2 linked regions of the Saccharomyces cerevisiae S288C genome follow. The protein of the gene in region 1 interacts with the protein of each later gene in a biochemical or structural test. Each region holds a gene or a part of one and is shown on either strand. Other genes may lie near its edges.

Region 1 (7,910 bases):
TATGTACAGATTTCAAATAAGCATTGTAGCAGAGCCCCTGTAAATCAGCACCCGAAAAACCAGCTGTCTTTTCAGCGATCAACTTCAAGTCTGCATTTTTCTCCAATGCAAATTTTTTTTGTCCCGTATCCTTGTCTTTTGAATTGACGATAGCTTGCAAGATATCTAACCTCTCTGATTCAGTCGGTATATTACAGATCACACTTTTGTCTAATCTTCCCGGTCTTAACAATGCGCTATCAATCAAATCAGGTCTACTTGTAGCTGCTAGTATATATACACCATCAAGGCCCTCGGCACCATCCATTTGGGTCAATAATTGATTGACTACACGGTCTGTGACACCAGTGGAGTCATGCCCTCTCTTTGGCGCAATAGAATCGAACTCGTCAAAAAATAGAATACAGGGTTTGACGGACTGTGCCCTTTCAAACAATTCTCTTATGTTTTGTTCGCTGGCACCTATAAACTTGTTTAAAATCTCTGGTCCCTTAACGGAGATAAAGTTTAACCCACATTGTTGTGCCACGGCGCTCGCCAGAAGCGTTTTACCACAACCAGGATAACCGTAAAGCAAGATTCCTGATCTCAATCTTAGGGGACAATTAACGAAAATAGGCTCATATTTTGTGGGCCACTCTAAGGTTTCTAGAAGGACATCTTTGGCATTTGCTAAAGCACCAATATCCCCCCATTTGATGTTCGTTTCTTTTGTTAGCTTTACTCCACGCAACGCAGATGGTGTAAACGCACTAAGCGACTTCGAAAAAAGTTCCCTTGTTACAACATTATCACAATCTCTTTCCAACTGCAAGTCGTAGAAAATCTTTTCTGTGAATATTTCCAAATCTAGTGGCGAAAATCCTTCTGTCTCCAACGACAAATCACTGAATTGCAAATCTCGATTTAGTTTCATGATCTGGTTTTTCGAGAAAAAATACTCCAGTAACTTCGCTCTTGCATGTTTGTCAGGTGCTCTCAAAGACCACGTCTCTGAAACAAAATGCTTATCAAACAATAGCGGATTAATTTGAGTTTTCTGCTTGCCTGAAAATAAAACTCTGATTCGTTTATTATCCTTGTTAAATATCTTTGTCACCTGATTGATGAAAAAATTCAAAAGTTTGCTTGCATTATCCCATTGGCCATTATTAGAAGGATCTCCGTCATTGGCTTGAGGTTTTCCAAATAGAGCCTCAACGTTATCCAACACAATCAAAGAAGGACCATACCAATAACAAAAAGAACACCATTCCATAATTAATTTTTGGGTTTTATCTAAATTTGATGTCTCGTGCAATGTTTCACAATCCGCATATTTAACGAAGATGTGATGATCTTTTTCCACTTCATTTATAAGCTCTTTTAATAACCTTGTTTTACCGATCCCTTGCTTACCATCTAATATAATAGCTGGTGTGGCAATAATAGGCGATGTCAAATAATTGACCATTTCTTTCTTGATACTATTTACCGTAATGAAATCATCTTCATCTTTACTAGTGCGCGAAACTTCGCCAGTTTCTTTGACGTGGTAATGTTTAGGCAAATGCCTTTCGATAATATCTTTAACTTCTTCTTTACCCATTTGGGTTACTTTCCATTGAACGGATTCATTGGAAATTTCATTCAAATTACACAACTGCTGCTCGGATTCACCTTTTTTTATTTCGATTATAATTTGCTCTGTTGGAAGTATTAAGTTATTGGTCAATAAGCTCCCGCCCAACAACTTAGAATACTGATCCCCACTCTTGGTAGGAACGTCCTTGCCAAAATATTTGATATTGACTGTTGCATTTCTTCCGGATATTATATTTGCTTGATTCATTTGTAGAAACTCTAGTTTGATTTTTGCTCCGTTCATTGGGTGCGTAAAGAATGCATCCCAAAGATGAGAGCTTAATGCAATGTGATTTTCGGGTATCTGACTATCACATTTTATAAAAACCCCAATCTTCTTCGAAGGGATACCAACTGATTTATTATCTGAATCGCTTTTCTTGGACTGCCTTAAGCTACATTTTACGATAGAAGCGTAGCCCTTCTGAGAAGGCAATTGTGCCCCGTCACTGATATATACGACAAAAAGGTTATCTTTAGGGAAGTCCATTTTGCACACAGTACTCCTCAATATTACCTTCTTTAAAAGTTGGATAGCCCCATTTTTTAGTATTGTCTTATTACTATGACCATACTCAGCCTTCACCAAACGTGTTTTATTGACTTTTGGTGCCACAACAACCAAGGAACCATCTGTGATCCTCGCAGACTTCATTGATGGCTCCACCCTGTCAATTTTGAACTTTGTAACAATTCCTTCCAAATAACAAATCAAAGTCTCACCTGGGGTAACTATACGGGTTTGGTGCAAAATCTCACCATTTTGGAACCTCATCGCATTGGCATCGATAATTTCCCAATCATCACTCGTTTCTGGCGTGACATACACCTCCGTAGCCAGGTGTGTGTGGTCATATCGCTGGATGTATAAGTCCACCAATGGAGACTTTTGATTTAAATCATATACTGTGGCCAAAACAGGATTGATAAGAACAACATTCTCACTCGATCCAGAATCATGGCCATCCCATCCAAGATGAACAATAGGTATATCTGAATTATGAGAATGGACTGCTATACCGAATTCCTGGATAGCGTAGTTGGTTGACTCTAACACGTTTATAATTGAATGCGGTAACCTTAAAAAGTTTCCTACTATGGCATTGGAGAATTGGATTCTCAGATTCTCAAACTTCAACCTCTTGGTCGTCGTCATTTGAAAGAGCAGTTCCTCAGGTGTTTCTTGTTACTGCCGTCCCTTCCAGAAGAAATTCGACGATGACAATAGTCGGAGAGATATTCCGGACCTTTATAATTGCGGCTACGCACAAGAATAAATCGCGATAGTAATCGGATATAAGACAATAAAGTCCAGCTAACTTGGTTGGAGAATTCGACAGATTACCATGAATATAGAAATCGATGTTTTTTTTTGTCCACGCCGATTGATCAGCCATTTTTTTTTATCAGGGTCGCAACTGCCCTGTGCAAATAAGAAAGCCTGAAATGGTTGCACAAAGACCACAAACAAGGGCATACGCCAGTACAGTATTATGGACTCATGCCATCGAGGTTACATAGAATTAGTTTAAACAAAAACCAACTATCCTCTAATATCCATGGTACGAGTATATATAATTGTATGAAGTGTAAGAATATGATATAAATAATGAGAGCACTCATAGAGAGTAACGGCGCTGAATTGTAAGAACTGTCACGTAGTAACACAATCACTGAAAGCATATAAAGTGAAATGAGAAACGGTAGTAATATCATATGCATTACCAATTCCTTTTAGTGAATTTCCATGTGCCCGAGGGGGGACTTCCAGTATATTCTGTTACATTTAAGTAAATACTTCATCAACAAATAGGGCCCAGCGGTTTCTTACACTAATTATACATTTACAACGTAAATGCTCCAGCTCAAGCATTATTTATATATCTTGTTTTCAAAAGAAAAATATAGCAATTAGACTCCATGGCCAAGTTGGTTAAGGCGTGCGACTGTTAATCGCAAGATCGTGAGTTCAACCCTCACTGGGGTCGCTTATTTTTAACTTTTTTACACTGAAGAAACAAATCAATTCTAATACAATGCCAATGGCTTCAAATCAACCTTTGGTTATAATAGTTAGGAGAATCGATGCTTACATAGTATATTATTTAAACAATTAATTTGATTTAAAAGATTTTTGTTTCCCTTGCTGCTGTCATTGGCTTTCTAAATTACATAAAGCAGATGAAAAGCCACACTATGCTGAAAATAGTGTGTGGATGCATCTACATGATGATGCAACACGAATTGGATTTTTTAGCTTGCTTATAAAACATTTTGGAACTTGCCGTTAATGACTCCGATTTGTCCACCAAATTATCCAACTTTTCACCTCTTTGTAAAACATTCTCAATCGTTTTGTGCAAAACGATTTTCGTCTCATCCAGTTCTTGTTGAACTTTCATGATAGCGTCAGCCTGTGAAGGATCTTGATATTTGCTAATGTAAGTGTCCAGTTGCTTCATTTTCAATGCATCATTGGTCTCAGTCACATCTGCCCACTCTTCCTTAGGATGTGCGACTAAATATTCATCCAATATTTTGTTTAATAGTGTGTATGCTGGTCTGACAGGATATTCTTTGTCGGTGATCAAAACACCACATATGCCCTCACTCCTGGCATAAACGTGGCCAATATAGTTGCCTTCTTCTATACTTTGTCTTTGTCCTGCACCAGTTCTAGAAGCGACCGTTTCAGCAAAAAAAGTCATAAACTGGCCAACACTAGACCTTTCAAAGAAACCAAATTGTGACAAGTCTTTAACTTCACTCAACTCTAGAGCCTTTTCTCCTCCAGAGCGAAATACACCGATGTAGTAGATTCTCATTGCCAAAATAACTTCTCTAGTGATACGTAAAGCTTCAGAAATGCCCTAGCCTGGTCTAACGCAGTCAAACTGTGCCAGAGACTTTTGTATATTGTTCATGTTGATATCTATTGTGCTTGCTCTTGATTTCACACCAAGCCAATCGTTCTGTACGGCACGCCACCCAATAAGAAAAAAAGGGAAAAGGAGCCGAATTTTGGTTTAAAAACATATAATGCTGAAATTGTGGAACACCAATTACCAACTGGAAGTAGGCTCGATCCAAAGAGTGTATATTATCAGTAAAATGCTTCGCAACTTAGTCGTCAGGAATGCGTGCAGAAACAGGCCGTCAATTCAAGTGGCAAGGGGGTTATGCCGACACCAAACAAGACGTCTCATGGCGTCCTCCCCTCAGTTCGGTAGGAACTCCAATCAGGAAAAAACAGCGGGCTTTATAATGGGGATTCTTTCTATGGCTGGTGCTTTATATTTTATTGCTCCTAATAGGAAGCCTCTTTTCGCCTCAAGGAAGGTAGAATCCGATAAAACCGCAGAGGAAGAGCTTTCCAGTGGTGGTGAGCAATCACCAGAAAATGAAGATGACAACAACAGCAAAAGCGATGAAAATGGAGATGACAACGACAGCAAAAACGATGAAACTGAAGCTGGCCCTCAATTAGGGGGTGATAAAATTGGTGCTTCAAAAGTAGCTGAAGATGGTGAATTGGTTGTTCTAGCAGAAGAAGACAACAAGTCTTCCGAAGATAAAGATACTGATGAATCAAAGGTATCAACCAAAGATGATGAGCAATCCAATGAAGACAATGCCACCGCTAACAATCAAAAGGATGAAAACATAAGTTCTGAGAACTCGGAAGAAAATACTAGTGACAAAACACTAGACAACAATGCTGGATCTTCTGAAAAAAAAGATCCAGAACATTCAGATGATGAAAAATCGCAACAGGGACAATCTGATGACAAGACAACTACTGAAGATAATAATGGAGAAGAAGAATCCTCAAAAAAAACTGTAAGTGACTCGGAAAATTCAGCTAAGCAATCTGAATCTAGCGATGAAGAGAAAGAAGAACTAAGAAAACAAGAGGAAAAGCAAATGGGTCCTACTGAAGAAGAGGTTCAACACGAAGGTGCTTATAACCCAGACACTGGTGAGATAAATTGGGACTGTCCTTGCTTGGGAGGTATGGCCCATGGACCCTGTGGTGAAGAGTTCAAATCTGCATTTTCTTGCTTCGTCTATTCTGAAGCTGAACCAAAAGGTATCGACTGTGTTGAAAAGTTTCAACATATGCAAGACTGTTTCAGAAAATACCCCGAGCATTATGCAGAACAACTAAAGGAAACATCTGATGATGAGGAACCTCAAGACAAAGTAAAGGTCAACACAATAGAATCAGCGCCAAATGTTTCAAGCGCAAAGGAAAATGCTGCGAAAAAAGCAGAGCAATCAGATGTGAAAAAAGAACCATTGAATGAGGAATCCAAACCTTAAAATCTCCTGAAAATCTCCCGAACGTAAAAAGTATAAAAGTATAAAGGATGATACATGTAAATACAGTAATATTATCTTAGTTTAATGACTACATATGGTATAATATGTGAAATATACATGAATTAATGCATCTGTGGGGCGGATGAGTCTAGTCTCTGTATGAATCCAGCTATACATCAAATCGTATCCTTTTATTTACAGGGCAAGTTTGTCATATATTTTAAGTTACTTGTAGTTTTTTTCCAGCTCAATAAATTTTTCCCAAATTTGAGACATTGTAAGTTTCTCGAAACTCTTTCTATTATCACGTTCTCGAATGTTGTATTTCTGTAACTGTACTTCCTCATCACCCACGATAATTAAATAGGAATAGTTTTTCAAAATGGCCGACTTGATCCTATACCCTACGGGTTCGTTTCTTATGTCGAGATCAACATTGAAATGCCAATCATTTAAAGGAACTGGTTCCATGTCGTCGGCTTCCAGTTCATTACGTAGTTTTTTCTGCAAGGCAGTGCACATGTCTAGCTGTTGCACATTTTTCGTATTGACGGGAATAATTACAGCTTGGTAAGGATTCAACCAAAACGGCCAACGGCCCTCATTAGAATCTATCAGTAAAGCCATAAATCTTTCGATAGAACCAAAAGTAGCTCTATGAATCATAATTGGCCTCTTGTACGAGTTGTCTTGATCCTTGAATTTCAAATCGAACCTCTCAGGTAGCTGAAAGTCCAACTGAATAGTAGCGACTTGATGAGTTTTGCGTAAATGGTCCGTAACCATTATATCCAACTTTGGACCATAGAACGCACCATCACCAGGGTTCAGTTTCCACGGTTTGCCTGATTCTTCCAAGATTTCCTTGAGTACTTGCTCAGCATGATTCCAAACTTTGAGGTCTCCAATGAAGTGATCCGGTCTTGTAGAAAAGTTTATAAAATAATTGCTCTCTGCTCCAGAACCTCCTTTAACAAAGGGGAAAATTTTGTTGTAAACTATGTCGATTAATTTTAAAGAGTTGAAAATTTCTGATTTCACTTGGGAAGGAGTGCAAAAGATATGACCATCGTCTTGATGGAACTTCCTTAGTCTAGTCAATCCCGACAGTGCACCAGAAGCTTCATTTCTATGTAGTGGTGAAAAATCAGAGAAGCGTAGGGGAAGTTCGTTATACGATCTATCCTTTTTACCGAAGATCAGACAATGGCCTGGGCAATTCATCGGTTTTAAACCGTATTCCTCCTTTTCTTCATCCGTAGTTTCCACCTTAAACATGTCATCAGCATAATTTTCCCAGTGACCAGACTTTTCCCAAAGAGTCTTTTTGTAAATCAAAGGCGTCACAACTTCATTAAAACCAAATTTGAACTTTTGTTGTAACTTCATAAACTCTATCAATTTGTTGAAAATCTTAGCACCATTTGGAAGAAAGAACATGGATCCAGGAGATAGTGGATCTGTCATGAAAAGATCTTGCCTCTGAGATACCATGGATGTCATAGTAGCTGGAGTCGCCGACGAAGCGTTCTTAGTGGCCTTTCTCGTAGAGTAGAAAGCACGATTCCAAAGAGCATTGCGAGAACAATGCCATCTTACAAGTTGTATTTTCATATTGCGAGACAGAAGGACGTGCCCTTAGCTATTGCATATGTTTTTCTTTATGTAGTTCAGCAGCTCTTCTTTTTTTCATGCTCGAGGTTTTTAAGGGCGAACTTTAACTAGATGGATTATTCAGTTTTTTTTAAAAGGATCAAAATCCTACATTATATATATATATATATATATATGTTTGTGTGTGTATATAAAAAAAAAATCATTTCTTGATCAAGATCAGCCTCTTATATATGTCGCATCAATCTTCTGTAGGGATGGAGGTAAGTTCATAGTCAGTTTTCTTCTATACGAAGTCTTATTTTCCAGTTGAATAGGGTTTCCCTCCAGATAAATGGTCTCCAAGCGTG
Region 2 (4,558 bases), on another chromosome or scaffold:
CTCCACCACATTTAGGAATGAATGATAAGTTGATACGTTTGAAGAAATCACTTTATGGATTGAAACAAAGTGGAGCGAACTGGTACGAAACTATCAAATCATACCTGATACAACAATGTGGTATGGAAGAAGTTCGTGGATGGTCATGCGTATTTAAAAACAGTCAAGTGACAATTTGTTTATTCGTAGATGATATGGTATTGTTTAGCAAAAATCTAAATTCAAACAAAAGAATTATAGACAAGCTTAAGATGCAATACGACACCAAGATTATAAATCTAGGCGAAAGTGATGAGGAAATTCAATATGACATTCTTGGCTTGGAAATCAAATACCAAAGAGGTAAATACATGAAATTGGGTATGGAAAACTCATTAACTGAAAAAATACCCAAACTAAACGTACCTTTGAACCCAAAAGGAAGGAAACTTAGCGCTCCAGGTCAACCAGGTCTATATATAGACCAGCAAGAACTAGAGCTAGAAGAAGATGATTACAAAATGAAGGTACATGAAATGCAAAAGCTGATAGGTCTAGCATCATATGTTGGATATAAATTTAGATTTGACCTATTATACTACATCAACACACTTGCACAACATATACTATTTCCGTCCAAGCAAGTGTTAGATATGACATATGAATTGATACAGTTCATATGGAATACGAGAGATAAGCAATTAATATGGCACAAAAGCAAACCTGTTAAGCCAACAAATAAATTAGTTGTTATAAGCGATGCCTCGTATGGCAACCAACCGTATTATAAATCACAAATTGGCAACATATATTTACTTAATGGAAAGGTAATTGGAGGAAAGTCCACCAAGGCTTCATTAACATGTACTTCAACTACGGAAGCAGAAATACACGCGATAAGTGAATCTGTCCCATTATTAAATAATCTAAGTTACCTGATACAAGAACTTGACAAGAAACCAATTACCAAAGGATTACTAACCGACAGTAAATCTACAATCAGTATAATTATATCCAATAATGAAGAGAAATTTAGGAACAGATTTTTTGGTACTAAAGCAATGAGATTGAGAGATGAAGTATCAGGAAATCATCTGCACGTATGCTATATCGAAACCAAAAAGAATATTGCAGACGTAATGACCAAACCTCTTCCGATAAAAACATTCAAACTATTAACAAACAAATGGATTCATTAGATCTATTACATTATGGGTGGTATGTTGGAATAAAAATCCACTATCGTCTATCAACTAATAGTTATATTATCAATATATTATCATATACGGTGTTAAGATGATGACATAAGTTATGAGAAGCTGTCATCGAAGTTAGAGGAAGCTGAAACGCAAGGATTGATAATGTAATAGGATCAATGAATATAAACATATAAAACGGAATGAGGAATAATCGTAATATTAGTATGTAGAAATATAGATTCCATTTTGAGGATTCCTATATCCTCGAGGAGAACTTCTAGTATATTCTGTATACCTAATATTATAGCCTTTATCAACAATGGAATCCCAACAATTATCTCAACATTCACATATTTCTCATTCTCAATCTTCATGGTATCTTTTTTACACCGTATATGATAAAATACAAGTAATATAAATACCAGCCACTGGATGACATTGAAATTTTATTCTAATAAATGCATCAGCTCTTTAAAAACATTGCTATTTAGCTATTTGAAGCCAGAAATTTTCACAGATTACCATCCGATATAGTGTAACGGCTATCACATCACGCTTTCACCGTGGAGACCGGGGTTCGACTCCCCGTATCGGAGTGTTCTTTTTCTTACCTCTTGAAAAAGAGGTAGTAAAGTCAATATAAATTCTTGGCTGAAGTATTTCAATACAATTGGTCAAGGAAGTTATTATTTTTTTAATGACTTATATCTGTCCAACACAACAGGTTACACCATATAATCTCTATTTACTGGACAGGCGGAAATCGATAGTTTAGCTTTCCTAAAAATCGTTATATTATAGAAGCGTCTTGACACGTTTTCAAAAAAGGAAGAAGCAAGAACGAAAAGAGATAAGGATTCAAAAGAAAGGAAGCCCAATGTCTCGCAAATTTGATTTAAAAACGATTACTGATCTTTCCGTCCTAGTTGGGACTGGCATATCATTATACTACCTGGTCAGTCGGCTACTCAACGATGTTGAATCAGGACCGTTATCAGGTAAATCAAGGGAATCAAAGGCCAAACAGTCCTTGCAATGGGAAAAGCTGGTGAAAAGATCACCGGCATTGGCAGAAGTAACATTAGATGCATATGAAAGGACTATATTATCTTCTATCGTTACGCCAGATGAAATAAATATTACATTCCAGGATATTGGTGGCTTAGACCCGCTTATTTCAGATCTACATGAAAGTGTCATATATCCCTTGATGATGCCAGAAGTATATTCTAATAGCCCTTTACTTCAAGCACCTAGCGGTGTCTTGCTATATGGGCCACCAGGATGTGGTAAAACCATGTTGGCGAAGGCCCTAGCCAAGGAAAGTGGTGCTAATTTTATCTCAATAAGAATGTCATCTATAATGGATAAATGGTATGGTGAATCTAACAAAATAGTCGATGCAATGTTTTCATTGGCGAACAAGTTACAACCTTGTATAATATTCATTGACGAAATTGATTCATTCCTTAGAGAACGGTCTTCTACAGATCATGAAGTTACGGCAACCTTAAAAGCTGAATTCATGACTTTATGGGATGGCTTATTGAATAATGGAAGGGTTATGATTATCGGTGCTACTAATCGGATAAATGACATAGATGATGCGTTTTTGAGGAGGTTACCAAAAAGGTTTCTTGTTTCATTGCCTGGTTCTGATCAACGTTACAAAATATTAAGTGTTTTATTAAAAGACACTAAACTAGACGAAGACGAATTCGACTTGCAACTGATTGCAGACAATACCAAAGGATTTTCTGGGTCGGACCTGAAAGAGCTTTGCAGAGAAGCGGCCTTAGATGCAGCAAAGGAATACATAAAACAGAAGAGGCAGCTCATTGATAGTGGTACAATCGATGTTAATGATACTTCTTCCTTGAAGATAAGACCATTAAAGACAAAAGATTTTACAAAAAAATTAAGAATGGATGCTACAAGTACGTTGTCATCTCAACCTCTTGATTAAGGAAGGAAAATTAGAAAAAAAAGAAGAAAGCTTTTTATTCACGCATCATATCATATCAGATAAGCTAGTTTTCACATAATATGTGTATATGCAGTATACTCCTGTACATAACTTCCTTTATTTCTGCTTTATAATTATATACTAGTTATTTTTCTTGGGCCGCTTTTATTACGGCAACTATTCTATCAGGTTTAGTCATAATCTAAATCTAAAGATGGGGAAAAGCCAAAAACACTCAACTTTCAATGAATACAAAGCTTCATGAAAGCAATAGATAAAATGACGGATAATCCACCACAAGAAGGCTTAAGTGGGAGGAAAATAATATATGACGAAGATGGCAAACCGTATGTTGGATTACGCAAAGCAATTCAGGATCTACTGATCCAATCAAGCTTGTGATTTTTTATTAACAAATTCTCTATAATAGTTGCCGATCATGTAACACCCTACTTGACTTTCAGTACGTGACCGGGAAGATATCTAATGGCCTGAAGAACCTCTCATCTAACGGTAAACTAGCAGGTACGGGGGCTCTCACTGGCGAAGCTTCAGAGTTGATGCCTGGCTCAAGAACATACAGGAAGGTTGACCCTCCTGACGTAGAGCAACTAGGTAGATCTTCATGGACGCTGTTACACTCTGTAGCTGCCAGCTATCCTGCTCAACCTACAGACCAACAGAAGGGTGAAATGAAACAGTTCTTGAATATCTTCTCACATATTTATCCTTGCAACTGGTGTGCTAAAGACTTTGAAAAATATATCAGAGAAAATGCACCACAAGTTGAGTCAAGAGAAGAACTTGGGAGGTGGATGTGTGAAGCCCACAATAAAGTCAATAAGAAATTGAGGAAGCCCAAATTTGACTGTAATTTCTGGGAAAAAAGATGGAAGGACGGCTGGGACGAATAAGTACAATCTCAGAATTCTGAAGGAACACATAAAAGACAATTTATACATATTTACAGATTCTCGTGTATATAACACTCCAATCGTATTGATCAGTCATATGTTGGCTTTTTTATTTAGGCTTGAGCTCTAACTTTCCAGATGAATGACTTTTCTACTAATATATGTTAGGATTAATAGTTTTATATGTATAAAAATATTTAGTCAGTATTTAGCTAAAAAGTTTACTTTCAAAGAATTGTCATGTTTGCAGCTAGTGCCTCTGGTCTTTTGAGTATTCCCAGCCCTTGTTTAGAGGTCATCAAGAATGAACTTGAAATTAGCCGTATCAGTGGTATTAACCTCTTCTAAGAAGAGCAGAAAAAGAAAAAAATCTCCGCGACGGGGAATTGAACCCCGATCTGGCACGCGACAAGCGCCCATTCTGACCATTAAACTATCACGGAAGAAATATCTGTGAAATGTGACTCTTATAGCATACTATTTTAGTTATGAATTGTGAA

What was found.
Region 2: the proteins of MIA40 (region 1) and ERV1 form a complex in vitro, tested with the Saccharomyces cerevisiae proteins (9 studies listed by BioGRID, with this or other methods).

Annotation. Positions count from the first base shown.
Region 1 is NC_001143.9:71,087-78,996, forward strand, and holds MIA40 (Mia40p), read left to right. Parts: upstream 1-4,734; coding exon 4,735-5,946; downstream 5,947-7,910. Other genes in the region: PEX1 (AAA family ATPase peroxin 1), read right to left, coding at 1-2,779; palmitoyltransferase YKT6, read right to left, coding at 3,846-4,448; threonine--tRNA ligase MST1, read right to left, coding at 6,172-7,560; type 1 protein phosphatase-activating protein SDS22, read right to left, coding at 7,780-7,910. UniProt on the Saccharomyces cerevisiae protein: Required for the import and folding of small cysteine-containing proteins (small Tim) in the mitochondrial intermembrane space (IMS). Forms a redox cycle with ERV1 that involves a disulfide relay system.
Region 2 is NC_001139.9:540,148-544,705, forward strand, and holds ERV1 (flavin-linked sulfhydryl oxidase), read left to right. Parts: upstream 1-3,405; coding exon 3,406-3,491; intron 3,492-3,574; coding exon 3,575-4,058; downstream 4,059-4,558. Other genes in the region: protein-degrading AAA family ATPase MSP1, read left to right, coding at 2,056-3,144. UniProt on the Saccharomyces cerevisiae protein: FAD-dependent sulfhydryl oxidase that catalyzes disulfide bond formation. Required for the import and folding of small cysteine-containing proteins in the mitochondrial intermembrane space (IMS).